Linked DNA regions of Stegostoma tigrinum. Each later gene encodes a partner of the first gene's protein in a complex. Links are inferred from orthologs where the notes say so. Each region holds a gene or a part of one and is shown on either strand. Other genes may lie near its edges.

Region 1 (15,579 bases):
CACAAAACCAGCAAATAATATCTGTGAGGTTAAAGCAGAACAACTTCAAACTGGATAACTTAAATCTGGTCTTGCTTTACTCCAGATGGGGTCTGATCAAGGCTCCGTACACTGCAGCACTTCCTCACTTTTGTATTCTAGTCTTCTGAAGATGATGACTTAGATTCCCTACAGTGTGGAAACGGGCTCTTTGGCCCAACAAGTCCACACTGACTCTCAAAGGATCCCAACCAGACCCATTCCCTATAACCCACCTAATCTACATATCCCTGAACACTATGGGCAATTTAGGATGGCCAATCCACTGAGCCTGCACATCTTTGGACTGTAGAAGGAAACCAGCGCACCCGGAGGAAACCCAGAAAGACGCAGGGAAAATGTGGAAACTCCATACAGACAGTTGACCAGCAGTGGAATCGAACCCAGGCCCCTGATGCTGTGAGGCAGCAGTGTTAACCTCTGAGCCACCGTACGGCTCAGGTGCTGCACAGCGGCTCAGTGGTTAGCACTGCTGCCTCACAGTGCCAGGGACCCAGGTTCAATTCCACCTGCAGGCGAATGTTTGTGTGGAGTTTGCACATTCTGCCCATATCTGCATGGGTTTCCTGTGGGTGCTCCTGTTTCCTCCCACAGTCCAAAGATGCACAGGTTAGGTGGATTGGCCATGCTAAATTACATATACAGTCCTGTGATGTTTGCGTTGTACATGGGCAAATGCAGAGGTAGGGTAATAAGTCACAGTAGGGTGCTCTTCAGAGGGGCAGTGTGGATTTGTTGGGCCAAATGGCCTGTTTCCACACTGCAGGGATTCTATGAATCTATGAAGATACAGGCTAAAATTACATAGTCCTTAATTGTATTTTGCATCTGTATTGTAGCTTTCAGTCATGTTAAAAATGATACCAAAATATTTTGTCAAGCTACAGTTCGTACCTGTATAAGAACTGATCTCAGTTCTGAAGCAGATAAATACACATTTCCCCTCATAATTTTGCATCCTCACTTAGTCCATCCCTTTGTTATCAGCTGATCTAGTCAATTTACCGTAACGTTTATATTAGTGTCATCATAATTTTCTATTCCTTCCTTCAAGCTATTAATACACACGGTTAAAAATGATGTTCCCCAAGGGGAATGATACACTGGCTAGCCATATCCCTCAAGACCCTTACCATAATCCCAAATTATTCTGGCTAGAAATTCTGAAAGTTGGACGAGGACTGTTCATCTTTAGTGCTCCTTTCTTGCCAATCTGATGAAATCAAATGCTGGTACTTTTAACAACTTTTGTCCATTAAAATAATACTGCCAACACATTTCAAACAAAAAACTTGAAAAAATGTAGTCTGCTTTCAGAACTGTGGTTTCTTAAATAGTTGCATTTGCCATACATTTACAAATCTATAACCCTACTAGATAATCTAGCTATTCACAATATATCATTTTGAGAATCATTACCTGGTCCAAATCCACAGCAGCATAGACTACTTTGCCTTGATCATCCCCAGAGAACAGTTTCATTCCATTAGTGCTCCAAGCTAGTGCTGTAATATTACTTTTGTGAATACAGACATCAAATCGACGCAACTGTGAAGCAAGCATTACAGTAAAAAGTCAAGAAAAACATTAAATTTATCAGTAGCCAAATACAACTGTACTGTTACATTTATGCTTTACAGAATTGCAGAAAATGAATTTGAAAGCTGCAAGACACAATACAGACAACTTTTCACATGGCTCTTATGCAACTGACAGACAAATAAAAAGACTATAATATTTCTAGATCATGGATGAAATAAAAGTCTTTTGAATAATTTATCAGTGCATTTTTAAAATTTCAACACACAATTAGAAATTTGAATTCAACTTAAGACTCATTGTCAACTGAAGAAATTCCAAAGAAGAGTTATATTTGACTCAGAGATAATAAAGTTTTATCTCCACAGATGCTGGTAGACCAGATGAATACTGTAATAAAAAGAGAATGTGTAAGAAGTATCAGTGATGCTGGTAGGAGAAACAGCAGCAGACTGCTTAGATAGCTACAGAAACTGGCAAAATACCTTAAATTAGCTTTGCAGAAAAATGGGACAATCTGCCGGTGCTATTACATCAAAGACCAAAATATTGCTCGAAGTGCAAAAACTAAATCATGCCTCCAGAGCTCTAATTTACCTGCTTGTTTCTTCCAGGCAATGGTGAAACGAGCTGGAAAAGTACTACCCTTCCTGAAGATGTCCCAACAGCAACAAGGTCATCAAAACAAGCCAACAATTTCACCACTCTAATAGTATCAGTTTTACCCTTAATGAGAAAGAAAACTCTTTTAGTAAACAACTATATCACAAGTTTAGCAAAACATATACAAGGCTATTCAATTTAATTTATTTTGATAATGCACTTGAGTATATTTTAGTACTTTCTTGAAACATGTCAGCATCTCAGAAGGATAAATCTAACTTATCACGGGTATTATTCTCAATGCTTTGCAGAAATGGTAAAATAGAAGGATAAAAAGTTAATGTTTATCCTACTTCTCTCCTGGTCCTAAGCTAATTTTGTTCACATAACTACAGCAACAGGCTAATGTTCAAACGTACCTCTAGATTATATTTTGTCATCTTGTTCAGCCGTCTGCAGTAGAGATAAAGCATACCGATATTACTGCCCACTGCAATGTAGTCTTTATTGGCATCAAGTGCTGTGAGATGGACGAGAACATTTCTAAACCCCTTCTGTACTTTTGTTGGGATAGCATTCAGTAGGTAAGATAAGGGACTGAACTCCTTAAATGTGGTGAAGTGCACATCTAATGCCATGGCATCAATAAGACACTGAAAATAAGGAAAAACAAACAAAGGGAAATGTAATTAGAAAATCTCATTAACTACACACAAAATGCAATCTACGCACACCAGAAAAGTTTATATTGGACAGTTAAAGTTCAGACAATAGCAGTTGACTGGTCAGTTATCTCAGTCAAATATCATGTCCAAAATGATGACAAAAAGTTCAAAATTATTTAACTGTTAATGATAGCTTCCATCACATCAATTAACTGCTCTAAGCAGTTACCTTACTATGGACTATTTTGGGACTTGCACATAAGTGTCAATAGTGCGATCCAATACTGTGTAAAACACCTACTGATTCTGTATCATGTTTGGCACATTATAGATAATGAGATTGATAGGTAGTGATAATAGATAATCGCTCGAGCTATAACGTGACAAACTGAAACCTGGAATGGCAGTATGGAGAAACTTATGCCAATAAGAAAATATAAAAGTTAATAACAGGCATATCCAATAGACACATTTAATACACAACACGTTAACTGAATGATTAACATAATAAAAACAGCTTGCTCAATACATACAACAGGTATGTTAATACTAAAAAAAACACCACCATGGGATAAACAGCTCCAGTAAAATATGATCAGAAAAGGTCATTGATTGGATAAAACAGAAATGCAGCATCCTAAAATTGAACTGTGATGTTGTTTTTAAAACATAAAATTTAATGGCAATGTTGTTTGTAAAAACGTTTCAACTTGATGTGCCCGCTCCTAAAACAAGCTCTTGACAGGGTTCATTCTCAACAGCTCTTGGAAGGAAGCAAAGCAGAGAGAAAGAATTAGGATAATTTCACAATAATCTCATTCAGTTTGGAACCAGCAAAAATGCACAAATTAACACAAGGCTTTACTATTGAAAATGCAAGTTAAAGTCCAAGTTCTGACAGCCTCACAAAGTAATAATCTGGCCAGAGCTCCAATTGCTCCCATAGCTGAATGGTGAACTGCTATATCCCTTTTATTACCTTATTCATGTGTTGAAATTCTAATTGCTTTGCAACCTATCCCTTTTAATGACACAGAACATTTATTTTATTCTTCCATAGGAAATAGGCATCACTGGAAAGACCAACATTTGTTATTGATCCCTATCGGTTATCAAGATAGCAGTGAATTTGCTTTCTTGAACTGCTGCAGTCCAAGTGGTGAAGGTACACTCGTGGAGCTATTAGGAAATGAATTCCACACTTCTGACCCAGTGATAGTGAAAGAACAGCAGTACAGTTCCAAGTCAGGACGGTGTGTAACCTGGAGGGGAACATCTGGGTGCTGGTAGTCTCATGTGTCAGCTCCCTTTGTGCCTCCAGGTGGTAGAATGCATGAGCTTAAATGGTGCTGAGAAAGGCGAGATGTAGCACTGCATCTTGCACATGTTTCACAGTGCTTCTATTAAGCATCAGATGTTAAAGGCAATGAATGTTTAGTGTTGAGCTGGTGGATTGGTGACGATCAAGTAGGCTGTTTGGTTTAGGGCAGTGTCGCTCTTCCTGAATGTTGTTGGTGCTGCACTCATCTGGGCAAGCAGACATACACGCTGCTTTCTTGACATTGGATTGGCTTTGCAAGATCAAGAGGTAAATTGCACACTTCACCTCAGAATTCCCAGCCTTGGCTCGTTCTTGAAACCAGTGTATTTAGATATTCCTCCAAAGGGTCACTGCATCTAGGTAATGAATACAACGATGCAGATCCCAAAATCTCAGGTTTGGTTCTTCTAACCTAAAGTGGTCATTCACCCCTACCTGTAGTAAATTCCATCTGTCAACAAGAGAATGATTTGCTTACTCTTACATTCTGTTTACCGCTTGTTAGCCAATCCTTAACTCATGCCAGTATCTATCACATGTGCTTTAATTTGCTTAACAGTCTTCTGTGGGAGACTTCATCGGAAGCTTTCTGAAAATCCAAGCGTACAAAATTCATCAACTCTCCTTTATCAATTTTGTTCGTAACATCCTCAAAAAAGTTTGTCAAATATGATTTCCCATTCAAACGTCCATGCTGACTATGCCCAATCAGATGATTTTTATCCAAGTGTCTATTTATCCCATTCTTTACTATATGGTATTTTCCCTATTACTGATGTAAGAATGGCAGGTCTGTAATTCCCTGTTTTCTCTCTCGCTGCCTTCTTAAAAAATGGGTGACATTCTGCCAGAAACATTTCAGAATCTATCAAAAGCTGGAGGATGATCACTAATATATTCTCTATATCATCAATCATTGCCTTCAGCCCTGTGGGATACAGAATATCAGGTCAAGAGAACTTAACAACTTTCAGTCTTATTCATTTTTCCAGAACAACCTTACTACAAATACCAATTTTCTTCAACTCCTCATTGTCCCGAGTCAGTTGCATTTCTAATGCTGGGAGTTTCTTACACCTTTCTCGATGAAAGCAGACATAAAGTAATTATTTGTCTTCTCAACCATTTCTCCATTCCCCATTATATATGTGCCTGACAGACTAACATTCGCCTCAGCCAAACCTTTCCTCTCTACATACCTGAAGCTTTTACAGACCACTTATGGTTTTTTACAAGATTGCATTCATATTCTATTCTCCTTTTCCTTATGAGTCCTTCCTTGCTATACTCTTAAAAATCTCCCACCCTTACGTTTAGTACTATTTGTGGCAAATTTATAAATCTTTTAATCTTACACAATCCTTAATTTCCTTGTTAGCCAGATTTAAGTTTTTATACTTTGAAGGAATGTATAGTTAATGTAAGGCACGTAATATTTCTTTTAAAGCTATCTACAGCATATGTATAGTCATGCCTGTTAATGTATTTTCCCAATCCCAATGTACTCCATGCCATCATTACTTCCTAATTCAAATTTTACATCCTTGCGTCAGATTGAAGTGCCTCACTTTTAAACATAATACACAATTTTATCATACTGTGGTCTTGCCACTTGTCAGTTCAAATCCGGATATTGGCCAAGTCTTGCTGCATTTAGACATGGATGGCTTCAGTGTCTGAGAAGTTGTGAATGGTACTGAACATCAGGCAAGTGTTGGCAAACCTTTCTATTTCTAATGTTATGATGGGGGGGGAAGGTCATTAATAAGAATGGTTGGGCCAAGGGCATTATCTTGAGTAACCCTTGCAGAGATATCTGGAACTGAGATGATTAACGTCCGACAACCACAACCATCCTCCTTTGCTTGGGTATGACTCCGACTCCCGAATCAAACTGATTCCAGTTGTGCAGAGCTCCTCGATGCCACACTCGGGCTGAAGTGCCACAGCCTTGATGTCAAGGGCAGTCACTTTCGCCTAATGCCTGGAATTTAGTTATTTTGTTCAAGTTTGAACCAAGGCTGTAATGAGATCAGGAGGTGAGTGGCCTTGGCGGAACCCGTACAAGGCATCATTCAGCATGTGAGATAACAAAGTGTGGAGCTGGATGAACACAGCAGACCAAGCAGCTCCTTCGGAGGACAAAAGCTGATGTTTCGGGCCTAGACCCTTCATCAGAAAAGGGTTTTCTGATGAAGGGTCTAGGCCCGAAATGTCAGCTTTTGTGCTCCTAAGATGCTTCTTGGCATGCTATGTTCATCCAGCTCCATACTTTGTTATCTCAGATTCTCCAGCATCTGCAGTTCCCATTATCTCTGATCATTCAGCATGTTATTGCGGAACAAGTGCTGCTTGCAAGAACTATCGATGATATATGGGATGATATATGACTTTACTAATGATTAACAGTAGACTGATGGGGAAGTAATTGGCCACGTTGGATTTGTCCTGTTTTTGTGTACAGAACATATTCGGGTAATTTTCTACATTGTTGGGTAGATGCCAGTGCTGTGGCCACACAGAAATCTTCAGCAACTGCTGGAACTATTGCTGGAATGGTGTCAGGGCCTACAGCCTTTACAGAACCCAGAGCCTTCAGCTATTTCTTGATATGATGTGGAGTGAACTGAATTGGATGAAGTCTGGTATTTGCGATGCTGGGGACCTCTGTGAAAGGATGGAATGGATAAATCACAGCAATTCTGGCTGAAGACTGTTGCAAATACATCAGCCTTATCTTTTGCGCTAATGTGTTGGGCTCCCCCATCATTGAAGATGGGAATATTTGTGGAGTCTCCTCTTCCAGCGATTTGTTTAACTGTACACTATCATTCACAACTGGATGTGGCAGCACTGCAGAGCTTAGATCTGATCTGTTGGTTATGGAATCATTTAGCTCTGTAAGTCACTTGCTGCTTACGTTGTTTGGCACATGAAGGTGACAATTAATTTTTAGGAATCCTCCTGTTTTGTTCATTGAGCAAGGATTGATCCCCTTTCTTGGTGATATTGGAAGCCTGGGATATGTCAGGCCAATGAGGTTAAAAATGTTATTAGCTGCCAAAAAAACTGCCTTGTTATCAGTTGCTTCCAGAACGTTGCATAGTTGTATGTGCTGGAAAAATGTCTAATTTACTTAAGTTTAACAGGTATCATTCAATATAGTTTAAACATTGGAAGGGGGATAGAAATAATTTTAAATGTTTCACACGAAACATTCCGCCACTGTCTAGAATACAATGACTGAACAATCATTTTTAATATTGTAAACCTATTCGATCTCAAGAGCCTTGTCAACACATCAGGAGATCACTACTACCAGAGCCAGAGAATCTATTCTCCTCAGCCGGGCCTGCGACAATGGTCCACCCACCACCCCATGGACCACTTAAGGCCACACTCCTCACGTGTATGTCAGACCCATCCCCACCATCACTTACCACGCTCCAAGTTAGATCCCCTGAGTCTCATACAATTTCTCTCTGCCCAACCGCCATGTTGCTCCCGAGGCCTTTTCCCTCCCCCCCCCCCGCGTCAGAGCCGAGAGTAGCTCCACCAATCAGCACGGACAGGCCATTCCACCAATCAGAATGAACAGTCCGTTCCATCCTTTGGTGCCGTGTGACGGCTTCACCAATCAGAGTAAGGATAGCATTTCACTGGTCAAGGGTGTCCAATTAGAACGGGTAACACGCTCCACCAATCATAATGGCGCTATCCCCCCACTTCGACACAAATATCGTGCCCACTTCACCAATCAGAGAACACTGTCCGCTCCGCCAATCGGAGAACGCAGTCTGCCCAATCAGGGTCTTCGCTAATCAGCGGTGCTACCGCTCCGCCAATCAGAATGCAATCTTCTTCACCAATGAGGGTAAAGCTATCCTGGCCCTTTTGATACACGGGGTACAGTTTGTTACTGTCCCCTAGACGGTTCATCAACGAAACGTTTCACTTGTAGCTTGTCCGTGATCCTGACGTAGTGACTTCGGACAAGTTGTGAAGTGACTTCAGCGCAAATGTGGTAGACATGGACGGTATGGCTTAGTTATTTCGTGTGAAATTTAAGGGTTTTTTTTCCCCTGAATTACTTTCTAAGGCTGATTTGGAAAGATTTAAAATGTGTTGCGTTAATCGCAATCTCAAAAGTTTAGCCTTTAGGGAAAAGCGGCAGCAGACGTTTCAAGGATGGAAAACACGTGAAAACGTGTAAAATGATGCGGCTTCATGGGAAATAAAAATGAATATTACTAAGCTAAGAATTTGTGAGACGCCCTACGGTTACACATTTGTAGAGGTGGCTGTAATGGAGTAAGAGGCCCCAACGTGCATCATAGGAATCTTAACGAACAAAATTGTACATTATTGTACAGTGCATAAGGAATTATTGTTCTTAAGCCGAAGGTAAATCGGAAGAGTAAATTCTGAACTCGACGCCCCCCCCCAAAAAAAATCCATCTTTTATTGACCAAAACGTACTGAACAAGATGCGCAATAACGTGTTTTGGAGTCGGTCAGGACGGAAAGAGGCCCTTCGACCCATCACGCGCCTCTGTATCCTAGTCGCATTTTTCACCCCTTGGCCTGGAGTCTAGTGTGTTAAAACGTTTCGAGTGTTCATCTAAATAGTTCTCAAATGTCTTGCGGATTTCCCATTTTTACCACCTTTTCAGGCAGTAGGTTCCAGGTGCGTTGGGGGGTAGAAAACAGTATCCTCAAATTCCCAATAAACTTTCTGCACCTTTAGTTTGAAAACTGCGCCCTCCAGTTAGTGAAAACTCTACTATGGAAATGTTTCCCTCTATGCACATGAGAATTTTGGAGTACTCAATCAGATTTTCCCCCTCAGCCTTCTTTGCTCTAAGGAAATCAAATCTGACTTTCAAATAAAATTACAGCACAGTAACAGGCCCTTTGGCCCTCCAAGCCTGTGCTGATCCAGATCCTCTATCTACACCTGTTGCCTATTTTCTAAGCATTTGTATCCTTCTGCTCCCTGCCCATTTGTGTATCTATCAAGATACATCTTAAATGATGCTGTTGTGCCTGCCTCTGCCATCTCTGCTGCCAGTGTGTTCCAGGGACCCACCACCCTCTGTGTAAAGAAATTTCCATTTATATCTCCCTTAAACTTTTCCCCCCTCACCTTGAAATTGTGACCTCTAGTAATTGAGTTCCCCCACTCTGGGGAGGTGGGGGAAGCTTCTTGCTCTCCACCCTGTCTTGTCACCCCCTCAACCTCTGCCTTTCTAATGTAAATAATCCCAATCTACTCAACATCTCTTCATAGTTAGCACCCTACGTACCAGGCAACGTCCTGGTGAACCTCCTCTGCACCCACTCCAAAGCATCCACATTCTTTTGGTAATGTGGTGACTAGAACTGTACATAGTATTCCAAATGTGGTCGAACCAAGGTCCTATACAACTGTAACATGGCCTGGCAACTCTTTTACTCAATACCCCGTCCGATGAATGAACGCATGCTGTATGCCTTCTTGACCACTCTATCGACCTGCATAGCAGCCTTCAGAGTACAATGGACCTGAACACCCAGATCTCTCTGTACATCGCTTTTCCCCAGGGCTTTTCTATTTTCCACATAGTTCACTCTTGAATTGGATCTTCCAAAATGCATCGCCTTCAGCAAAGCTAAATGGCTGTAGCCCAGGCAATATCCTGGTGAATCTCTTTTGCATGCTCAAATGTACAATCAAATCCTTCCTGTAGTGTGGAAACTAGCACTGCTCACTGCTCCAGCTGTAACCTAATTAACACTATATTCAGGTCCAGCATAACCTCCTTACTCTTGGCTGCTATACCTTGACGAAGAAAGTATCCCATATGCCTCCTTACTTGCTGCCTTCAAGGATCTATGCACACACTCAGCAAGATTCTTCTGGACTTCCTCGAGTTCTTATTATTCAATATGTATTCTCTTGCTGGTTAATGCACCCAAAATGCATCAACTTGTTTACTTTTTAGGATGAAACTCCAATTTATCTATATTGTCCTGTAGTCCAAGGCTTTCCTCGTTGTCATTGTACTGTGGTAAACCACTGGACACAGGCTTCCAGCCATAGCACAGTGCATCCTTTCATCACCACTCTGTGCTTTGCCAAATTGCCCTGGATCCCATGGAATCTGAGCTTCTTAATGAGTGTCCCATGCTCGAACTTGTCTTAAGCTCTAGTGAAGTCTATTCTGGCTGCATCAACTATATCACCCCCATCCACATACAAGTCACGTCTGTGGAAAAATTTAATCAAGTTTGTTAGTTATGATTTCCCCACTTACAAAGCTATGCCCACTATCCTTGATTAATTCAAGGGGACTTTAATTTTGTGTCTCAATTTTCTTTGCCTATCATTTCCCTACCACAGATGTCAGCCTCTCCTGCCTATAGTTTCCTGGTTTATCCCTACACCCTTCATGAATAATGGTATTAAGATTAGCTGTGCTCCGGCACCTTTTCTGTGGTCGGAAAGAAGTTGAAAATTTTCATGGCCCCTGCTCCCGTGCCTCCCTAAGCAGTCTTGGATACATCTCATCTGGGCCTAGGAAATTTTCTACATTTAAAGCTGCTAAAGCCACTAATATCTTCCCCCTCGATGCTAATTTGGTCAAGTGCGTGCATGGTGCATGGAAAATTGTCTCAGTAACTTGATTGTGTTACTTCAAAAAATTCAGAGGGCAGAGCAGTGGATGTGATCCATTTGGACTTTAGTAAGATGTTCAACAAGGTTCCTCGTGGTAGACAGGTTAGCAAGTTTAGATCACACGGAATACAGGGAAAACTAGCCATTTGGTTCCGAATTGGCGCTCAGATGAAAGAGATGATGGTGGTGGAGGATTGGTTTTCAGACTGGAGGCCTGTGACCTGTGGTGTACCACGAGGATTGGTGCTGGTGAACTGATTTTTGTCATTTATATAAAAATAATTTGGATGTGACTATAGGAGAGATAGTTAGTAAGTTTGCAGATGACACCAAAATGGAATTTGTAGTGGGCAGTGAAGAAAATTACCTCCTGTACAATGGAATTTTGATCAGATGGGCCAATGGGCTGAGGGCTGGCAGATGGAGTTTAATTTAGATAAATGTGAGGTGCTGCATTTTGGAAAGGCAGATCAGAGCAGGATATATACGCAATAGTATGGTCCTGGGGTGTGTTGCTGGACAAAGACACCTTGGAGTGCAGGTTCATAGTTCCTTGAAAGTGAAATCGCAGGTAGATAGGAAAGTGAAGAAGGTATTTGGTATGCTTGCCTTTATTGGTCAGTACATTGAGTATAGGAGTTGGGAGGTCAGGGGCTTTGGTTCAGCCACTTTTGGAGTATCGTGTGCACTTCTGGTCTCCCTGCCGTAGGAAGGATGTTGTGAAACTAGAAAGGGTTCTGAACGTTGTCAGGGTTGGAGGGTTTGAGCAATAGGAGAGGCTGGACAGACCAGTGCTATTTCCCTGCAGTGTCATGGATGGGGTAAATGGGAAAGGTCTTTTCCCTTGGGTGGGGGTGGGGCGGAGGCCAAAACTAAAGGGCATAGGTTTAAGGTGACAGGGGAAAGATTTAAAAAGAACAACTCTTTCACAAGGTGGTGCATGTCTGGAATGAGCTGCCAGAGGAAGTGGTGGAGGCTGGTACAATTACAACATTTAAAAGGCATCTGGATTAAATAAGCAGGCTTAGAGGGATATGGCCCAAATGCTGGCAAATGGGACTAGATTTATAAAGGATATCTGGTCAGCATGGATGACCAAAGGGTCTGTTACAGTGCTGTTTAACCCTGACTGTAAGTAAATCACAGTTCCACCCCCACCTCAATTTCTGGACCTTCATCGTCCTCCTTTATTGTGAATGCAAATGCAAAATACATATTTAGTATTCAGCTATGTCTGTCTCTCTTTGGGCTATACACACATGGTACTACTCTTTGTCTGTTTATTCTTGTGCCCCACTATACATCTTTAGATTTTTCTTAGTTTTATCCACCACTGGTTTTTTGCTCTCCTAATTTCCTATTTAAATGACCCCCTTGCACTTTCTAGACTCAAGTGCACCCGCTCTTTTAAGACTTCAGTATCCTTTACCTTAACGCTTCCTTTTTTCTTGTTGACATCTTCATACACTTCCTGAAGAGGCTGATTAGAAAACACCTAATAGCAGACCAGCATGTGGTGTCCATTGATTATGGTCCAGGTCATAGCTGTGCAGCATGGAAACAAACCCCCATCAACATTATTGCTAACGAAACTAGTCCCATATGCCTGAGCTTTGTTTCACTTAAAACAAAAGATTTCCAAGGGACTGTTGTTGTCTGGTGGTAATATCCCTACCTCTGAGGTGGGTGGTCTGGGTTCGAGTCTGAGCAGGCTGATTAGAAATATCATCATCTGTAAAAAAACATGTCCCAGAGGGGCTTTTGTGCTGCTGTGGTAGTGTCTGTACCTCTGAGGCCTGGGTTCAATCCCCACTCAAAACATGTTTCATATGAATGTACTGGTTTCCTGCACAGCTATGCTGCTTCTGGGGTGCTATCCCTCGAGTAAAAGCCTCTGGTAACAAGCCGGCTACATGTCCCAGTTGTGCAAACAGGACACAATCGTATTGCTTAGATAACAAGGTGTAGAGCTGGATGAACACAGCAGGCCAAGCAGCATCAGAAGAGCAGGAAAGCTGACATTTCTGGCCTAGACCGTTCTTCAGAAACCCTCTGCAGTTCCTACTATCTTTGAAACAATCGTATGCTTAGTCTGTTTTGCGCACACTAGATGCAGGACTATCTCTAATACACTTGAAGTGCCTTGGGACATTAAAAGACCCTCTTATAAATGCAAGTTAATACCTGTAGTTAAGCATTAGATTTTTTCTTAAATAGCTGAAACTTAATACATTTTTTTGTTTACTAGCTCCATGTCCAAGCTCAGGCTTTGTAACTCCAAGAAGACAAGACTTGAACAACAGTGTCAGAAAAATAAAGGATACTGCTGCAGACTGGCATAACTCCATGCTGAAATGGGAAACACTTAATGATGCAGGATTCTCAGTAGCAAATAAAATTGTTAACATTATAATCAACACCAGGTAAGCCTTGCAGAGTAAAGTTTCACATGTTGAAATGTTAGTGAAAAAATTTAATTTTAAAACGTGCCCTCAGTGGTAAATTGATTCAAACTAACTTATCTCAGCTTTCACTCTAATGCTTCTGTTCAAGCTGTTGTGCTTTTAAAGGGATCATTATTACACTGCTACAGTCTTTTCGAAACAAGAAATAACACAATAATAATTTCAGTATCAGAGATAATGGGAACTGCAGATGCTGGAGATTCCAAGATAATAAAATGTGAGGCTGGATGAACACAGCAGGCCAAGCAGCATCTCAGGAGCACAAAAGCTGACGTTTCGGGCCTAGACCCTTCATCAGAGAGGGGGATGGGGGGAGGGAACTGGAATAAATAGGGAGAGAGGGGGAGGTGGACCGAAGATGGAGAGTAAAGAAGATAGGTGGAGAGAGTGTAGGTGGGGAGGTAGGGAGGGGATAGGTCAGTCCAGGGAAGACGGACAGGTCAAGGAGGTGGGATGAGGTTAGTAGGTAGCTGGGGGTGCGGCTTGGGGTGGGAGGAAGGGATGGGTGAGAGGAAGAACCGGTTAGGGAGGCAGAGACAGGTTGGACTGGTTTTGGGATGCAGTGGGTTGGGGGGAAGAGCTGGGCTGGTTGTGTGGTGCAGTGGGGGGAGGGGATGAACTGGGCTGGTTTAGGGATGCAGTAGGGGAAGGGGAGATTTTGAAACTGGTGAAGTCCACATTGATACCATATGGCTGCAGGGTTCCCAGGCGGAATATGAGTTGCTGTTCCTGCAACCTTCGGGTGGCATCATTGTGGCAGTGCAGGAGGCCCATGATGGACATGTCATCAAGAGAATGGGAGGGGGAGTGGAAATGGTTTGCGACTGGGAGGTGCAGTTGTTTGTTGCGAACTGAGCGGAGGTGTTCTGCAAAGCGGTCCCCAAGCCTCCGCTTGGTTTCCCCAATGTAGAGGAAGCCGCACCGGGTACAGTGGATGCAGTATACCACATTGGCAGATGTGCAGGTGAACCTCTGCTTAATGTGGAATGTCATCTTGGGGCCTGGGATGGGGGTGAGGGAGGAGGTGTGGGGACAAGTGTAGCATTTCCTGCGGTTGCAGGGGAAGGTGCCGGGTGTGGTGGGGTTGGAGGGCAGTGTGGAGCGAACAAGGGAGTCACGGAGAGAGTGGTCTCTCCGGAAAGCAGACAGGGGAGGGGATGGAAAAATGTCTTGGGTGGTGGGGTCGGATTGTAAATGGCGGAAGTGTCAGAGGATAATGCGTTGTATCCGGAGGTTGGTAGGGTGGTGTGTGAGAACGAGGGGGATCCTCTTGGGGCGGTTGTGGCGGGGGCGGGGTGTGAGGGATGTGTCGCGGGAAATGCGGGAGACGCGGTCAAGGGCGTTCTCGATCACCGTGGGGGGAAAGTTGCGGTCCTTAAAGAACTTGGACATCTGGGATGTGCGGGAGTGGAATGTCTTATCGTGGGAGCAGATGCGGCGGAGGCAGAGGAATTGGGAATAGGGGATGGAATTTTTGCAGGAGGGTGGGTGGGAGGAGGTGTATTCTAGGTAGCTGTGGGAGTCGGTGGGCTTGAAATGGACATCAGTTACAAGCTGGTTGCCTGAGATGGACACTGAGAGGTCCAGCAAGGTGAGGGATGTGCTGGAGATGGCCCAGGTGAACTGAAGGTTGGGGTGGAAGGTGTTGGTGAAGTGGATGAACTGTTCGAGCTCCTCTGGGGAGCAAGAGGCGGCGCCGATACAGTCATCAATGTACCGGAGGAAGAGGTGGGGTTTGGGGCCTGTGTAGGGGTCTTCCTGTAGGAAGAGGGACTGTTCCACGTAACCTACAAAGAGGCAGGCATAGCTGGGGCCCATGCGGGTGACAAGTGTAGCATTTCCTGCGGTTGCAGGGGAAGGTGCCGGGTGTGGTGGGGTTGGAGGGCAGTGTGGAGCGAACAAGGGAGTCACGGAGAGAGTGGTCTCTCCGGAAAGCAGACAGGGGAGGGGATGGCCCCAAGATGACATTCCACATTAAGCAGAGGTTCACCTGCACATCTGCCAATGTGGTATACTGCATCCACTGTACCCGGTGCGGCTTCCTCTACATTGGGGAAACCAAGCGGAGGCTTGGGGACCGCTTTGCAGAACACCTCCGCTCAGTTCGCAACAAACAACTGCACCTCCCAGTCGCAAACCATTTCCACTCCCCCTCCCATTCTCTTGATGACATGTCCATCATGGGCCTCCTGCACTGCCACAATGATGCCACCCGAAGGTTGCAGGAACAGCAACTCATATTCCGCCTGGGAACCCTGCAGCCATATGGTATCAATGTGGACTTCACCA
Region 2 (16,534 bases), on another chromosome or scaffold:
CCTCAATCCCTCTGGTAATCATTGACCACAGTTTACACAAAGTGATAATATGCTGGAACTAAACCTAGTCAGAACGAACCAATGAAAGCATGTTTCAAATACAAGTATTTAAAACGAGGTAGCCAGGAAAGGATATCCACCTGGTGTTCAAAATTTGACCAGTCAAAATCAAAGGTTTATGTTGATATAAATTGACTCTCAGCCCGATACATCATCGTGTGGAGGTGCTGCTGTTGGAGTGGTGTTGACAAATTCAGAAATTGCACAAAACCAGCTTATAATCCCACAGGTTTATGTGAAATCACAAGCTTTCATAGCACTGCTCCTTCATGTGGTAACGACACTGCTGACTTCAATACATCATCAGCTGGAAAGTACATCCAGTGTTTTGTTTTCCCAAGAAGTTTATTTTGTAATTTTGTCCTGGTTATCTTGTCTCTTGCGGCGGCACGGTTGCTCAGTGGTTAGCACTGCAGCCTCACAGCACCAGGGAACCAGGTTCGATTCCAACCTCAGGCAACTGTCTGTGTGGAGTTTGCACATTCTCCCCATGTCTGCGTGGTTTCCTCCGGGTGCTCTGGTTTCGTCCCACAGTCCAAAGATGTGCAGGCTAGATGGATTGGCCAGGCTAAATTAGCTGGTGTTCAGGGGTGTGTGGGTTATAGGGGGATGGGTCTGGGTGGGATGCTTCAAGGGGCGGTGTGGACTTGTTGGGCCTAAGGGCCTGTTTCCACACTGTAGGGAATCTAGGCTACTCTCAAAGAACACATACAGTCCATTCTCTTACTTCAAGTACTCAAAATATACAGGTGTAAACCTTGGTTGACTTCGTCAAAACATTCATGAACCGGCTGGTCAATCGTAAGAACATCAAATCATCTCACTATGACACAACACATTGACAAGGTTTAGTGACAAGTATATCAATCTCCTAATCAGTTCAGAACATATTGCCAACTTACACTTCACAATAAAATACTTCTGGGGCCGAAGGAAAAAGTCAGGAATAACACCAGGTTTGGGAGAAGAATCAGGAGGTAAATTACAGTCTGACCATTCAGGATAGGTTTACAGGAAGCTTTTAATAACATAATGGAATGTTGTCAGAGAGGAATAATGTGAGATGCTCAGGATTGCTGCAGAGACTATAAATGTAACAACCTTTCCAACCATTTTGATCCTTGCTCCGTCTTCACTGCATGAACCACGGATAACAATACAGATGGAGGGTATGTTGGATGGTGATTCGAGCATATAAAACAGACCATTATTGATCCAAGATTAATGTGGAGTCACAGGACATGTAGCTGTAATGGTTCACTCAGTAATCCAGTCGAAGTAAAGATGGCTTTGGATTCCTCCTTCACGAGCTAACTCTGAAAACACTGTGGGATCCAGCCATCCAACCTGAATAAAGTACTTTGTCTGACACCTTCTGGTGTTCCAAACCAGCCGAGGTCCTAAGGGAATCACAAGGCATCTCTGGTCTCAATAAAATTACTTCAAGGATTATTTTAAACGAGAAGTAAACCAAGGCCTTTGCAGATATAATATATAATTATTTTTCACAGTCCTCTGGTTAACTTTGTGATGCTGAACAAAACAAAGATATTGAAGCTTAAAGTTAGAGAAGATTTGTAGCTCAGGTTGTGGATGAGGTTGTTGACTCGCTGAGTTGGTGGGTTTGATTGCAAACGTTTCATCACCCTGCTGGGTAATATCATCAGTGCACCTCAGTGAAGTGTTGGTGTTCTGTCCCATTTGTTATTTATATGCCCCGGTTTGCTGGGATGGTTGGTATTATTTCCGGTTTGGTATTTTGTACATTACATCGGTTTTAGGTATGAGATCTCTTACATTCGTCAGTAGCTGTTGCGGGCTACTCTGATACCTAGGGGTCCGAGTAGTCTTGTGGTCACCTCTAATGTCCTTGATGTATGGGAGGTTGATTCATGAGTCTGGTCATGTTGTGTCTTCCTGTTGTGGTCTGTCTCGGAGTTAACGGTGGATTGTGCTTTTCGTTTGTCCATTCCTTTTGAAGACTGTGTATAAGTTCCCCTGTTCTACTTTGCATAGTTCTGGGTTGCTACAATGTGTTGTGGCTCGTTTAAGTAGTGTCCTGATGCAGCTCCGTTTGTGGGTGTTGGGGTGGTTGCTAGATAAATTTATGTTTAGGTTTTATTGTCAGTAAAGTTTTGTTCCAAATTTTAAAATTAAGAGCTGAATGAAAAACAGCTTGATCTCTGATTCCGTTCAATAATCTCCAGAATAACTGCCATTTGTTGGTTTTGATGACTTTCTGGAGTGTCAATCATCCTGGAGGGGGAAAAAAATTAAAATGAAAATATTAAACGAGATCATTCATTAAAAAAATGGAAATAGAAAATACTGGAAACACAGGGTTAGTGCAGCTAATAGTCAAGCTTATATTCACAATTCAGCCTTCAGATGAACTGGAAGATAAAATAACTCCTTTTAGGGGCTGTACAAAAGGGAAAGACATAAAAGCTAAGAATCAGAAATATGTCTCTGATCAGAGAATCTACCCATGAATTGGATTCTAAAACACTTCCACTGATCACAAATAGATTCTGTTGAGAAATTGTTCATGGCTAATATCAGACCAGCTGCCTGTTACCCATAGCACCGCGCATCTAATTTTATCCACTAACTAGCAAGTCCTGCATATCACAGCCTGTTCTGTTCTGCACCACTGCTGGCATGACATTCACCATCAAATTTCCAAACAATTATAAATCATATTTATAATTAATCTGAATTTTAAAAGATTGCTTACAAGTGCTTTCAAACACATTTTTACAAACTGTCACAAACAAATTGTAACATGACAGTTAAGCTGTATCCTGAGACCAACTTCTATCTTTATTTTTGTAAAAATGGTTATTAATGATAACTAACTCCTGGGTGTAATTTAATATTTAATCTGTCAGCTGTTCATGCTGATTTAATGCATTTGCCATTTTGTAGACACTGGACTATCAGTACCTGAACAGTACGACTAGAGCAAAGCATCTCTAATGATCAGATAAATCTGCCAATAAGGAGTAAGTGAAGGGAACACTCCATCCAGGTCTTACCCATTCATCCTCATCAGCACCTTCTCCTTGGGTAGCTTTGGTCTCTTGCTCAGTTTTGTGCTTTGCAGCAAATACATTGTCAGTCCAAGAAGCTCCAACCTTTTCGCCTCCTGCGAAGTTGCATTTAGTCACAGTTCCAGCATCCATTTTGGCCAGTGAAACTAAAAAAAATTACATTCTTACAGTAAAGGCTAGTGATATTTTTAAACCAGTCAGACTTAGTCAAGCTTGGCATATGGACAGGTTGTTCACTTAAATTCACACTGAGTGACCCACTGTTGGAGGGTACAAGACTTAATTACTGTGAAATCTTGACTAAAGTTGTATACTTGCTACAGTCCGTCACGGCTCAGTCGGTGGTGTAAGGGGCCACACATTTTCCTGTTTAGATTGTAAACTAGAATAGAAATCAGACACTATCAAGCTAAAATACGTGAATTTTGCAACTTGTAACATCAATTGGTACAGATCTTTAGCTATACATGGCAATGTTGATTTTGTAGTAGTGAGATCATTACATTTTGAAACAAAGCAATACTGGGAAGTTTTGAATTAGGGAAATGCTCCCTGATAATATCCCTCAGATTGGTCAGGCCATTGTATGGTTCAGATTTGAGGGCAGTACAGCCAGATATATCCAGAACTGGAAATCAAAAAAAACCTCCCTCTCCCACCCACCTCCGCTGTGAAAAGGGGAAAAAAAAAATCTAGAGGCTCAAAAGAAAAAATTCTAATATAGCAAACATTTTATTAAGAGCACCTATGGGACCAGGAGTGTGCAGATTGATCTAGAGGTCTGCATAATTAATGTGAAAAGACAGGGGGTATACACAACACTGTTCTACTTTACTTACAACATAAACCACTTTAATAATAAGGGAACTTTGCATTAAATAAAAAGTACCAACTGACAGCCTTCTCACTCATGCTCAACTGACTTCTCAGACATTGCAGCAGATCATGATAATATAGTAAACTCCATTTAAGGTATATAATGTTTAGAGTGTGCCAGTTCATAAATTAGTTTGGAAAGGTATTCATAGAGGATCTGCAGATTGGAACCTCCAAACAAACATCACATCATTGGATATATTCGACCATGGATATTATTGTCCTTTGAATCCCAGAGCAGGACTCTAATGCCGTCGTGGCGTAGGCTGGTGTATCCTGGAGTGGGAAAGTGGCAGTGGAGAAGGAAAAGTTGGACTGTCGTCAAGTTAGTAAAATGTGAGGCTGGATGATGAAGGGTCTAGGCCCGAAACGTCAGCTTTTGTGCTCCTGAGATGCTGCTTGGCCTGCTGTGTTCATCCAGCCTCACATTTTATTATCCTGTCGTCAAGTTATCTTTCTTTCAATTTATTTTATTTTAAGTTAAATGAGAACGGTGTTGATTCATGGTGACAGTGTAAAACTTTTCACTGTGTTATATTGAATACATGTGACAATAAATGATTCACTAAGTAAAACCTTCAACAAACTCAAAGAGCTAGAACCCCACAACACAGAGCTAGACCCTATACACTCCACTGTGAAGGAAAACCCGAAGTGAGGTAATCCAGCTCAACGGACACCAGAGTTTTAAAACCAGGCAGGAAAACACAACAGCGCTTCATCGGAGGCTGCACTGATGATGTTACCCAGCAGGGTAATGAAACATCTGCGGAACAACAAACCAGATCAGCAAGCCAACCAATCTCAGCAGGATAGTATAATGTAGGGTAGTTTGATCTCAGAGTAGGGTAACAAGTTGGCATAACATTGTGGGCTTAAGGGCCTGTACTGTTCCATGTTCTCATATGGACGGGTTATGTCAGGTCAAAGAGGTGGGGAATGAAAGGGATGTTTGGACATGGGAATGAGACGGGGGTGGGGAGATCTTAAAATTGGTGAATTCTATGTTAAGGCCATTGGGCTGAGGCAGAATATGAGGTGTTGTACGTTAAGTCCACCCATGGACTGTTTTCACAATAACCAATTCATTGTGGTCTCCATCAGCAGCTTTTCTTTTCCCCCCCCAATTCCCCATTATCCATTCCTTTCTCAGCCCAATGCTTTTCTCTGCCCTGGGCTCTATTTCCTCCTTCCCCTCCTCCCACGTCCTATCTCAGCACATATACCAATCTTATTCTAGCTACAATAGCTAGTTCTGAAGAAGGGCCACTGGACCCGAAATGTTGAGGTTGATTTCTCTCCACTGATGCTCCAGACCAATAATTCCTGTTTTATTTCAGATTTCGAGCATTCACAGTTCTTTGTTCTTTTATACTGGTGAATCTGCTCTACACTCCTTCCAATGAAATCCTATCCTTATAGAGTGGTGACCAGACATGCACAGTATACTCCAGCTGTGGTCTCATCAAAATAGAGTACAGCAGCAAAAAAATCTCCCTACTCTTATAATTTACACCAAGGCCAAGTTGTAATGTGTCCCATATGCCTTCTGAACCATCCTATTAACCTGTCCTGCTGCCTTTAGGAAACTATGGACAAGCAACCCAAGATCCTATGATCCTCAGCTTCCTAGCGTCCTGCCATTCATTGATTACTCCTTTCTTCCAAATGTCACATCTTATTTTTCAAAGTTAAATTTCATTTACACTGATCTGCCCAATCTGTTCATGTCTACCTGCAATCCAAGATTCTTTCCTCACTGTCAGCCAGTGAAACTTTGCATAACAGAGCCACACTGCAAATAGACCCTTCGGTCCAACTAGTCTATGCTAACCATTTTCCCCAAATTAAGCAAGTCCCACTTGCCTGTCTTTGAACCATATCCCTCCAATGTTTCCTATTCATGTATTTCTCCAAATGTCTTTCAAATATCATAACTGTACCCACATCCACCACTTCCTCTGACACTTCATTCCACATATGAACCAGTGTAAAAAAACTGCCCCATTAGAACTTTCTCCTCTCACCTTGAAAATATGTCCCCTATTTTTGAACACCCCCTATCCTAGGCAAAAATCCTTCCTGTTAACCGTTTCTATGTCCCTCATGATTTTATAAATCTCTACAAGGTCACCCCTCAACAACCTACACTCCAGTAAAAACTTATTTTCAACACCTCACCCCACTCTCATCTACTGTTTATATAGATCATGAACAATAAGGGGCCCAGCACTGATCCCTGTGGACACCTGCCTCGAGTCACACAAACAGCCTTCTGTCACTTCTCTCTCTCTCTAATCACTAAACCAAATTTGGATCCAAATTGCCAAGTTACCCTGGATTCCATGTGCTTTTACTTTTTCTTTAAAAAAAAGTCAGTTGCCCACTTGGAACCCTGTTAATATCTTTGCTGAAATCCATACAAACTACATCAACTACGAGACACTCATCTAACACTTGGAAAAATTCTATCAAATTTGTTAGGCACAACCTCCCTCTGACAAAGCCATGTTGAATATTCCTGATCAAACCTTGCCTTCTTAATCACTTAAATGCATCTGCATAGTAACTTTTAATAGTACATGTCCCAGCTCACAGGTTCCACTGGGCTTCAGAGTTCTGCAATCTCTCGCTATTTAAAATAATGCTCCTTTTCCAATCTTAGTGATAAACGGACAAATTCACAATTTTTCATATTTTAGTCCATCTAAAAATATTGCACACTTAACAGTCTATAAAAGGATATAGGCTGGTTAATATCCACTTGACAATTTTTGTTTTTTTTCTCAAACTCCTATTCTATTATACCTGCCATCTCCCAGGGGAGGTAGTAGTGTAGTGTATGGTCACAGGGCTGATAGTCTAATGTCCTTGTGGGCATGGGTACAAATCCCACTATGTCAGATGATGAGATGTGTGCAATAACAATATAAACAGCTAGGCAAATGGCAGACATTTAACTATTGTCAATTATCATTACAAAGCCCTGTGGTTCACTAATGGCAATGTCATTACCCAGTCTGATCAGCAAACGCACTGTGGTTGACTCTTAAGTTACCCTTCAGCAACTGAGGATGGGAAATAGCTACAAATAGCAGAGCTACTAATTGAGGGGTGATAGATTTAAGACAGATGTCAGAAGCAGGTTCTTTACTTAGAGTGGTAAGGGCATGGAACGCCCTGCCTGCCAATGTAGTTAACTCAGCCACATTAGGGGCATTTAAACAGTCCTTGGATAAGCAGATGGATAATGATGGGATCGTGTAGGGGGAGGGGCTTAGTTCACAGGTCGGTGCAACATCGAGGGCCGAAGGGCCTGTTCTGCGCTGTATTGTTCTATGTTCTAAATAAATGTTGGCCTAGTTCATGAATTAATAAAATAAAACTTATTCAAGACTGTTCCGGTATTCCACTATCAGCCATTATTGATTCCACAATCTTGCCCTTTAAAAGGGCTCACTTTGGTTATACTTTTCATTTTTAAATACTTAAAAGCACCTTATAGTTTTGGTTAAATTTTTGGAATGTTTTCTCTCTAATTTCTCTTTTGCTGATTTCTAAATCTGTCCAGATCTCAGTTCCATACCAATGATACATCCTTCCTGGTGGACTGTTGGAGTATATTTTTAGTGAGGTATGAAAAATTTCAAAAATATATTGCACTGTCCTATCTTTTAAACCATTTTTCCCCAATATTCTGTTTATGTAATTGCCTTGATTCAACTTCAAGGCACTAGATTTTATTAAGAGAGAGTGTGTATACACATGCTTGGGGAAGAGAGAGAGTGGATGTGTCAGATTGAGGGGCTGGGTGAGTAGAATCCCACTATGTACAGATTGCCTTGTTTCTCATTTTCCAACTGTGATGATCAACCATCAGCAATGAAAAATTTGGGGATTCAGACTTGATGGAAACTCTTGCTTCTCGTTTGGTAAGAAATTACAGCTGCAAAAACAGTGAATCTCAGTAAAAATCAATTGTTCCAGGATGTAACATTCAAACTTACAAATAAAAGGACTGTCCCCCAAGGTTTTCAGTCGTAAACAATCTTCAACCTCCAGCTCAATGTCTTCCACCTCTCCCTCTGAGATCCAGAATGCCAAGCTCTGATTGGGGGTGTGTTTCTCTGAGATTTTAATAAGCTCTGGTTTATTAATTAATCGCTTCAGATCTTCAACCAAAATTTTGTCTGTCTGTCCCGCTGCTTCCACCTCTACCGGATGATGTAAAACATGAAAACACAAGGTTAAGGAGCAGGCCTGAGAGCCCATGGCATTAGGTGCTTGACAATTTTCACCTGCTTTTTAATGAGGCTATTCTCGCAGCAATTTTCACTCACTAAGGTTTTACCACTTATGTTTTCAGTCATTTTTCTTTGACACAGACTAAGTCTAAACAGGAAGAAACTCAAATGTTCAGTACTTACCCAAAACTGACGTGCCTGTATGGATCATTTATAATAGGTGGAATGACTTTGAATATGTAATTATTTTTGTTCTCTACAGAAACAAAATGGGATCTCCCACTGCCCCACACCAAAGCTGGTAACATTATCAACACTAATTTCCAGAAAATTTCAATCTCCACATCCTCCTTACTTACACACATGAACAAGAGGAAGCTGTTCAGCCGCTCTTGGCTGTTAGACAGGACCAGTAGAGACCATTCAGCTACTTGAAAGAATTATACACAAATAGGAGGCCATTCACCTTCCCAAATCTAGGAACAGGAACCATTCAACCCTTGAGGCTGTTGTACAAAGTAGGCTATTCACCCTACCAAATCTATTTCAATTTTCAATATGGTCATAGCTACTCAAATTTGGCTTCATATACTCACTGAAGGAAGACATCAAATAGCCAGTGTTGACCTTTTTAGTTTCACTGAAATTTGGTTCAATCTCCACACCAGCAGAATCAAACTTTCTTTTATGGATCCTTGTTGGTTGAATATAAAGAATGAAATAACGATGCTGAAAAGCATAAAGAGTTTTTTTTAAATCTAGACATTTTTGTTCATTAAACCAAGTAGAGCAGTGAATTCTACATAGTTTCCAGTTGTGGCAAAGGATCGTCGGTTACAAACAGAATACTCAGTTTCTGCGAAACTTTGTAAACTTGAGGAAAAAACCAAAAGAACTGTGGATGTCTGTAAATGCAGGAAAACTTCTGCATCCTTGTACTCCAATTCTCTGGATATAAAAGCCATCAATTTTCTACACAAGAGGGTAGATAACTTACAGAGAGAGATACTTCAGGTCAATGACCTTTCATCAGTCCATAGCGTATATAGCAAGTTTTCAAGGACACTTTATCAGGGCTCTGTTGAAAACACAAATACCTGTTTATCATTGGAGCATCATGGATTCGCCCTCCTTGACCTGGTATGGGATTTGAACCTGAAGCTTTTAGTTAGGAGGCAGGTTGCTATACAAATCAGTGCCACATGACCTTCCCAGTATTTCTTTTAACGAAAAGGACTGTGGAGACTGTAAATCCAGCAACTCCTGTTTTTGTTGTGTTTGTAAATTTGAGATTTAATTTCACTTCCGGAGACTCAGGACAAACACTAACACCACGCTCCCGGCTCCCGCCCCGACCGACCGACCACGCCCCACTCTGCTCGTCACAGCCCGGCCTCCAGCAGCAGCACGCACCCCCCCGGGGCCCTCCCGAAACATCATGCCGTCCCTTACCGTGCTCTTTCCGCTCTCGATGATTTGATGGCGGCTGACGGCCCGCAATCTTCCCTCCAGCACCACCCCAGGGCCGCTGCAAACAAAGCGGAGCCGTTACCCCCTTTCAGACCACCCGCTGCCCGCCTCCAATCTCTTTGCAGCTCCCCCGCTACCAGCACTCACCGCTGCAGCTCAGCCGGTTCCCAGCGCCCCGACACCGGCTCCGGGATGACCGGCCTGTTCGCTAACGCTTTATCATCATATATTCTGCTCATAGCGGCTTGTTAGGACCGAAACAGATGACCCAGCGCTTCCGGGATCAGGGCAGGGACCTGCGGACAGATCCCGGTGGAGAGTGGGTGGGTCCACATGCTCAGGGGCGGTGTCTTCTGTGTCAGTGGGCGGAGACACATGCTCAGGGGCGGTGTCTTCTGTGTCAGTGGGCGGAGACATGCTCAGGGGCGGTGTCTTCTGTGTCAGTGGGCGGAGACACATGCTCAGGGGCGGTGTCTTCTGTGTCAGTGGGCGGAGACATGCTCAGGGGCGGTGTCTTCTGTGTCAGTGGGCGGAGACATGCTCAGGGGCGGTGTCCCTGGTGCTAGTGGGCGGAGCTCTGTCGGTAATGGCCGAGCTGCTCCTGCTCCCTGCTGACTTTGGGGACCGGGATTCGCAGCGCTGCCGTCTTGGGCCACGGGTCTTAACCGCTCTGGGCCTCAGCCTGGGTGCACCACTGCGGGTCTGTTTACCGGGAGGCTCAGCTCTGTGCTCTGCTTGGCCACGGGCGGACCGGGCCGAGGGCTTCTTGCAGCTCGACTGCAAATGCGTGAGTCCGGGGCTGTTAGAGAGACCTTGCCGGGGCCTGAGCTTGGGCCTCGGGCACCTAGAGCCCCTCTCCTGTGTTAAACTGAGGCGGGTCCGGGTGCGGGCTGTTCAGTCACATGGACCCGGGCCCGGGCCGGTGGTGGCACAGCTGCTGCTGAAGGAGCTGCTGAGGGGGTTGTTCCTCTGCCCGGGGTTTGTGGTTACGGTAGAGCCGGAGGCCGCGGCCTGGCCTGGGTTGTTCCTGCTGGATGTGGCCGCAGTAGAGCCGGAGCTGTGTCCCGGCAGCGTTGGCGTCCTGGGCCCCGGGACCCAGCTGGAGGTGGCGGAGCGGCTGAACCTGGAGCAGTTCCGAGCCCGAGGAAGGGGCCTGGACCTGGGCAGCCTGCAGCTGTCTGCTGCCCCGCTCCAGGAGATGCTGAACCTTCCGCTTCGTTTCCCGCGGGCCCTGAACCGCCTCGGTCTGCCGTGCCCCCGGGGTTTACTGTTACTTGGGCCTCCGGGGGTGGGGAAAACGGCGCTGCTGCGCGCCGTGTCCCAGGATTTGGCCGCTCCACTGATCCTCGCCTCCCCCGCTACCCTCCGGGGCTCCCGGCCGGGGGAGAGCGAGCAGAGGCTGCGCTGTCTCTTCGCCCAGGCCGAAGCCCAGGCTCGGGCCGGGCCCTGCATCGTCTTCATCGACGACATTGAGTCGCTGTTCCCCCGGAGGGCGGCGGCTGGGAGCCGGCCTGAGGACCGCCTGGTGGCCCAGCTCCTTACTCTGATGGATGGCCTGGAGCCTCGCACTCGCCTTGTCGTGGTAGCCGCCAGCAGCAGCCCCGAAGCCTTGGAACCCGCATTGAGGCGACCCGGCCGCTTTGACCGAGAGGTGCCTGCCTTCCTGAATCGGCCAGTAGTCAGGGTTTGGGAGACAGAGATCCTGGTTTGAGGGAAGAATGGTAGACACCAGGGCAGGGCAGGGCAGAGACGAACCCCTAGGCCAGAGAGAGAGGTACCCGCGGGGTAGGGGTGAGGGAGGAGAGAGACTGGGGGTTTGGGTGGGGGGCAGAGAGACAGATTAAGGATGAGGAAGGCTGAGAGAGTCAGACCTGACGTGGAGAAGTGAAACACTTCCAGGAGCACAAAGTCAGATGTAGGCGATTTTTATGCAACTAAATCCTTAATGGGCGATTTTTATAATTTACTGAATCTGAAAGACTGAGTCTGCCTTTTAACTGCCTTTACAGGTTGTAATCGGGGTTCCAACGACGTCGCAGCGCCGATCCATTCTGGAAGTAGTCACCTCATCAATGCCTCTTGGGGCTGATGTTGATCTGTCCTGGCTGGCAGAAGCTACAAGTGGTTACGTTGGTGCTGATCTGACAGCCCTTTGTCGAGAGGCTGCTCTGCAGGTTGTGAGGCGCAGCTCTCAGGTACTAAAAAGAGCAAAAGAAGCAAGGCCGTGGGGTGTGTTAACCGTGCTGCCCAGGGCATGTGAGGCCTGGAGTGGTGGCTCATAGAATTTATTTGTGCTATTCAAAAACTTACACTAGCTGAGTATAAACCATGTTCAGTCAGTCGCAGAACTAGCCACTAAAAAACAAAAGAACTGTGGATGCTGTAAATCAGGAACAAAAACGGGAGTTGCTGGAAAAGCTCAGCAGGTCTGGCAGCATCTTTGAAGGAGAAAACAGTTAACATTTTGGGTCCAGTGACCCTTCCTGTGAAGGTTCTGAGAAAGGGTCACCAGACCCCAAACATTAACTCTGTTTTCTCCTCCACAGATGCTGCCAGACCTGCTGAGCTGTTCCAGAACTAGCCACGTTCTCAATTAACCTAAAAGTCAGAGTCATAGTTGTACAGCAGGACACCTGGGAGTGCTGAAGACAGTTGTACTCCTGTGAGTTGAGGCCAGATCAGTGTCTGCATGGAGACTCTTCATAGGCGTGCTTTGTTTTTTAATTTTTGCATTAATCAGACAGACTTTAGGAATTATTCTCCTATTTCAAATTTCTCTTTGTAATTATTGACTCTGATTTCTTTAAGGACGCAATGAGCAAGAAAATCACCTTTGCAGACTTCTGTGAAGCAATGAAGATTGTGCAGCCTTCCTGTCTGAGAAGCAGCATCGGGCTTACTGGCTTCAAACCTGTCCATTGGGATCAAATTGGTGGCCTGGAACAAGTCAAACTGAAATTGAGACAGGTGACGAATGTAGCTGTGGTTTAAAGACACAGGTGGCTGTTGTGACCCAAGCCCCTCCCATCTCAGAATTCGCTGTCGCCCACTCCCAGCTGTCTGCTCTAATGGATGAGGCAGATCTTGAATGCAGTCTGTAATTGTTAGCATTCTCTCTGCAGAGTATTGAGTGGCCAATGCTATACCCGCAGGCATTTGAGAGGATGGGGGTGACCCCCACTCGTGGAATTCTGCTGTATGGACCCCCAGGGTGTGCAAAGACCACGCTGGTGAAAGCTGCAGCCTCCAGCTGCCGCTGTCCTTTCCTGTCGATCAGTGGGGCAGATCTCTTTTCACCGTTTGTAGGGGATTCTGAAAAGATTCTGGCTCAGGTGTGTATTTACAACAGGTTCACTCCAGACCGTGTACAGCAAGTTTAATAGTAACCTTATTTAAAGATGTACACTAGCCAAAGTACTTCAGTAAAGCAAAGCCCATGTGTTTTATCACCAACCCTGTACAGATCTATTTCCCTTGTTCTGAGCAATTCAGTTATGTCTATAGTTGTCATGCAGTGAACATCACAAAATACCATTTTCTTTGATAATTCAGATTTTTCTGAAGCCTGTGAGCACTCCCATCTTTAACACTCTAGCGTTAATTATCAAAGCTGAACAAAATAAATCTTGGTGATAGTTGGTTATATTAGTTCTGTTTGCTGTCTGCCCCCCTCCCCCAGCACATTGACATTCTGTTCTGTTTAAAGTACAGGTTTTTCAGCAAGCTCGAGCTGTAGCTCCATCCATCCTGTTCCTGGATGAAATTGATTCCATCCTTGGATCACGTTCACTTGATGAAGCAAGTTGCCGTTCTGTTAAAGAGCGGGTACTCTCTGTTCTTCTTAATGAGATGGATGGAATTGGGCAGCCACTGATTGGGAGGAGACACGCAGAAAGGAAAGTACCTGCATCTGAAGGAAATCAAATGGAACAGACAAAAAAGGTATAAGATTAAACCGACCAAAATTTAATGTGCTGGTGCTGGATGATTTCAGTGGAGTGAGGCGGGGGAGGGGATTTGTTTCGATAAGATCATCTCAGTTATGTTAAACTGACTATAGGAGTAACCTAACACCTCTCCTCAACAGACTCTGTATACCTGAAATCAACCCAGTGAGTGTACCCTGGACTGTCTCCAGTACCAGTATATCTTTCATTGATAATAGAATCAAAACTATTCGCAGTATTTCAGGTGATGTCTAACTGGTATCTTGTATAGTTGTAGCAAGGCTTCCCTATTTTATTGTTCCGTTCCCTTTTAAATTAAGGCCAGTATTCCATATGCCTTCCCTATTAGCCACTGAACCTGGATGCTTGATTTTTGTGATTCATGTATGAAGATGCCAAATCACTTATGTAGTCTCTCTCCATTTAAATAATTTGCAGTTATCCTATTCCTTCTGCTAAAGTGCGCTACCTCAGATTTTATTCCAAGTGCTTAGTTTTTGTCCATTTGCTTAACCTGTTTATATCCATCCAACACCCTTGGCCTCAAACTAGTGTGCAGTAAGGTTAGAAATCTTTTGAGAGACAATAAACATCAGCCTTTGGAGAGAACATTTCAAAGAACTGTTGAAGTATCATACACTCAGCAATGAGGTTGTTAAATTCTGATGAAGGGTCTAGGCCCGAAACATCAGCTTTTGTTCTCCTAAGATGCTGCTTGGCCTGCTGTGTTCATCCAGCTTCACACTTTATCTTGGATTCTCCAGCACCTGCAGTTCCCATTATCTCAGGATGTTAAATTAGTTTTGTGCGAGTTAGGTTTTTTTTATTGTCACATCTAGGGCAATTTAGTGAAAAGTGTTTTGTCTCCACAATCCGGTGCGATTTTTGAGACATAAAAGAATGAGAAGAAAGTACTTAAAAAGAATTCACCTGCATTGACTGGGGTCCCAAACATGGCTGTAGTACCCTACTCCGGACTGACTGCAGGCAGGAGTCTCCAATCTGCCAATTCCAGGAATCCATGCATCGGGCCCACAAAGCCAGGAGTCCCTGCTTCAGTCAGACTGCTCCAGCATCACCATGACATCAGGGAGGTGAAGAAAAGAATGTGGCCAGCCTGGAGCGGATGGGCCTATTGTGCCGCAGCTGCCATTTTGAATAGCTGGGACAACTCTTCCCCCTCCATGCTGCAGAGCCCGCTGTCCTCTCCCCAGCATCAAGGCAACAGTTCAGTTCGGGCACCTAGTGATGACAGTCTTCAATGATCATGACATCTGTGCTGTTACTAAGACTCTTGTGTATTAGGCAGCCATCTTTCTGACTCTTCTGTGTGGTTCTGAAACATGGGCTATGTATAAATACCACCTCAAGGCCCTTGAGGTCCTACTAATGCTGTTTTGAAGCCGATTCTCCACATCAGCTGCGAGGACAAGTGTGCTAACAACATACAGCCAAATAGCATAAGCATTGGGGTCAAACTGATGTTGCTGGGCTGGCTACAAGTTTAAGTCCCAACTACCCAAGTAGATCATCTTTTCCTCATTCAAGGAAAACACCAGAACAAGAGGGGCACAATGGAAGCATCTCAACGAGTCCTTGAAGGCTTTTATTCCCCAAGAAATGCAACATTGATGTCTGCGGATGGGAAACCCACAGTCAGAAGAAATGGACTTGGACAAAGTTCCTGTATGAAGGGTCATAATTTTTTTTTTGATAGCATCAGTTTTCTGGAAAATGAACCAGAGAAAGTAATGCCCGGAACCAATTCTGCCTACCAGAAGACCTGCCAGATGTGTGAGTAATGCAGCTCAAGGTTTGAGCTCGTCAGCCATAGAAGAACCCATTGAGCCAGAGACACACAATTTGCTGGGTTGATGATCATACTCTTTAACGAGTGACTATTCATAACAACTATATCCCTCTGCAATCTCCCATTGTGTCATCATCATCATTACTTGCCTTTCCCACCTTTTTGTGAGATATACAAATCTACCAATGATTCATACACACTTGTCATTGGTATCATTTGTATATTGTTTGTTAGTCCAGTTCTGAATTATGGTGACGAATTAAACAACTCACTGGAGGCGGCAGTTCCACAGATACCCTCTCCTCAATGATGGGACATTCCAGCATACCATTGCAAAAGATAATATTGAAGAAATTGTGATGACCCATCAGTGCTGTTGGTTCACTGTTAATGCAGTGACAGTAGATATGACAGCTGCACAAAACTATCATGAATTGAGAATTAATGAGCTCAATACTTACACTCTGGGAAATGTCAACAATGTTTGGAGATACTTTCCTTGAGCTAAGTTTCAGTTGTATAGCTGAGTGTAAAACCAGTTTCAGACATCACTGAATCAGTATAGAAATGAATAAGATAGACCGATAGCTTGGAAAAAATCAATTTTGAAACTTTTAACCAAACTGTAAAAAAGGAAGGATTGGAGTAATAGAATAATACAATACTGAAGGGACCATTCTGCCTGTTGCACCTAATGCAAGCTGTGGTAAAACTGGCCAATTAGGGAATGATTTCTGACAAAACTCATGTTTGATAGCAGATTAGAGAATTTCCTTCTTCACGGCTGATTTACCACAAGGAGAGTTCCTCATTTATAAATTTCATAACCTTTGGCATGGAGAGTTTTTATTCATTCATGGCATGAGGGCATTGCTGGCTAGACAGCGTTTATTGCCCATCCCTAATTGCTCAGGGCAGTTGAGTTAACCAAATTGTGGGTCTGGAGTTGCATGTAGGCCTGACCCAGGTAAGGATGGCACTTACTTACCTCTATGACATTAGTGAACCAGATGGGCTTTTCCAACAATTGACAATGGATTCACTGTCTTTAGACTGTTACTTCCAGGTATTTAT

Evidence for each region.
Region 2: cinp (region 1) and afg2b share a complex: the UniProt entries of both Homo sapiens proteins name them as parts of the 55LCC heterohexameric ATPase complex. The link is inferred for Stegostoma tigrinum from reciprocal best matches to the Homo sapiens genes CINP and AFG2B.

What each region holds. Positions count from the first base shown.
Region 1 is NC_081363.1:38,564,325-38,579,903, reverse strand, and holds the start of cinp (cyclin-dependent kinase 2-interacting protein), read left to right. Parts: upstream 1-8,051; 5' UTR 8,052-8,197; coding exon 8,198-8,204; intron 8,205-13,073; coding exon 13,074-13,248; intron 13,249-15,579. Other genes in the region: tecpr2 (tectonin beta-propeller repeat-containing protein 2), read right to left, coding at 1,459-1,587, 2,176-2,304, 2,601-2,819. UniProt on the Homo sapiens protein: Component of the DNA replication complex, which interacts with two kinases, CDK2 and CDC7, thereby providing a functional and physical link between CDK2 and CDC7 during firing of the origins of replication.
Region 2 is NC_081386.1:37,030,628-37,047,161, reverse strand, and holds the start of afg2b (spermatogenesis-associated protein 5-like protein 1), read left to right. Parts: upstream 1-10,231; 5' UTR 10,232-10,289; coding exon 10,290-11,354; intron 11,355-11,712; coding exon 11,713-11,898; intron 11,899-12,511; coding exon 12,512-12,670; intron 12,671-12,825; coding exon 12,826-13,035; intron 13,036-13,071; exon of another isoform or gene 13,072-13,414; coding exon 13,415-13,645; intron 13,646-16,534. Other genes in the region: arpin-like, read right to left, coding at 3,099-3,259, 7,997-8,203, 8,830-8,962, 9,686-9,761, 9,851-9,942. UniProt on the Homo sapiens protein: ATP-dependent chaperone part of the 55LCC heterohexameric ATPase complex which is chromatin-associated and promotes replisome proteostasis to maintain replication fork progression and genome stability.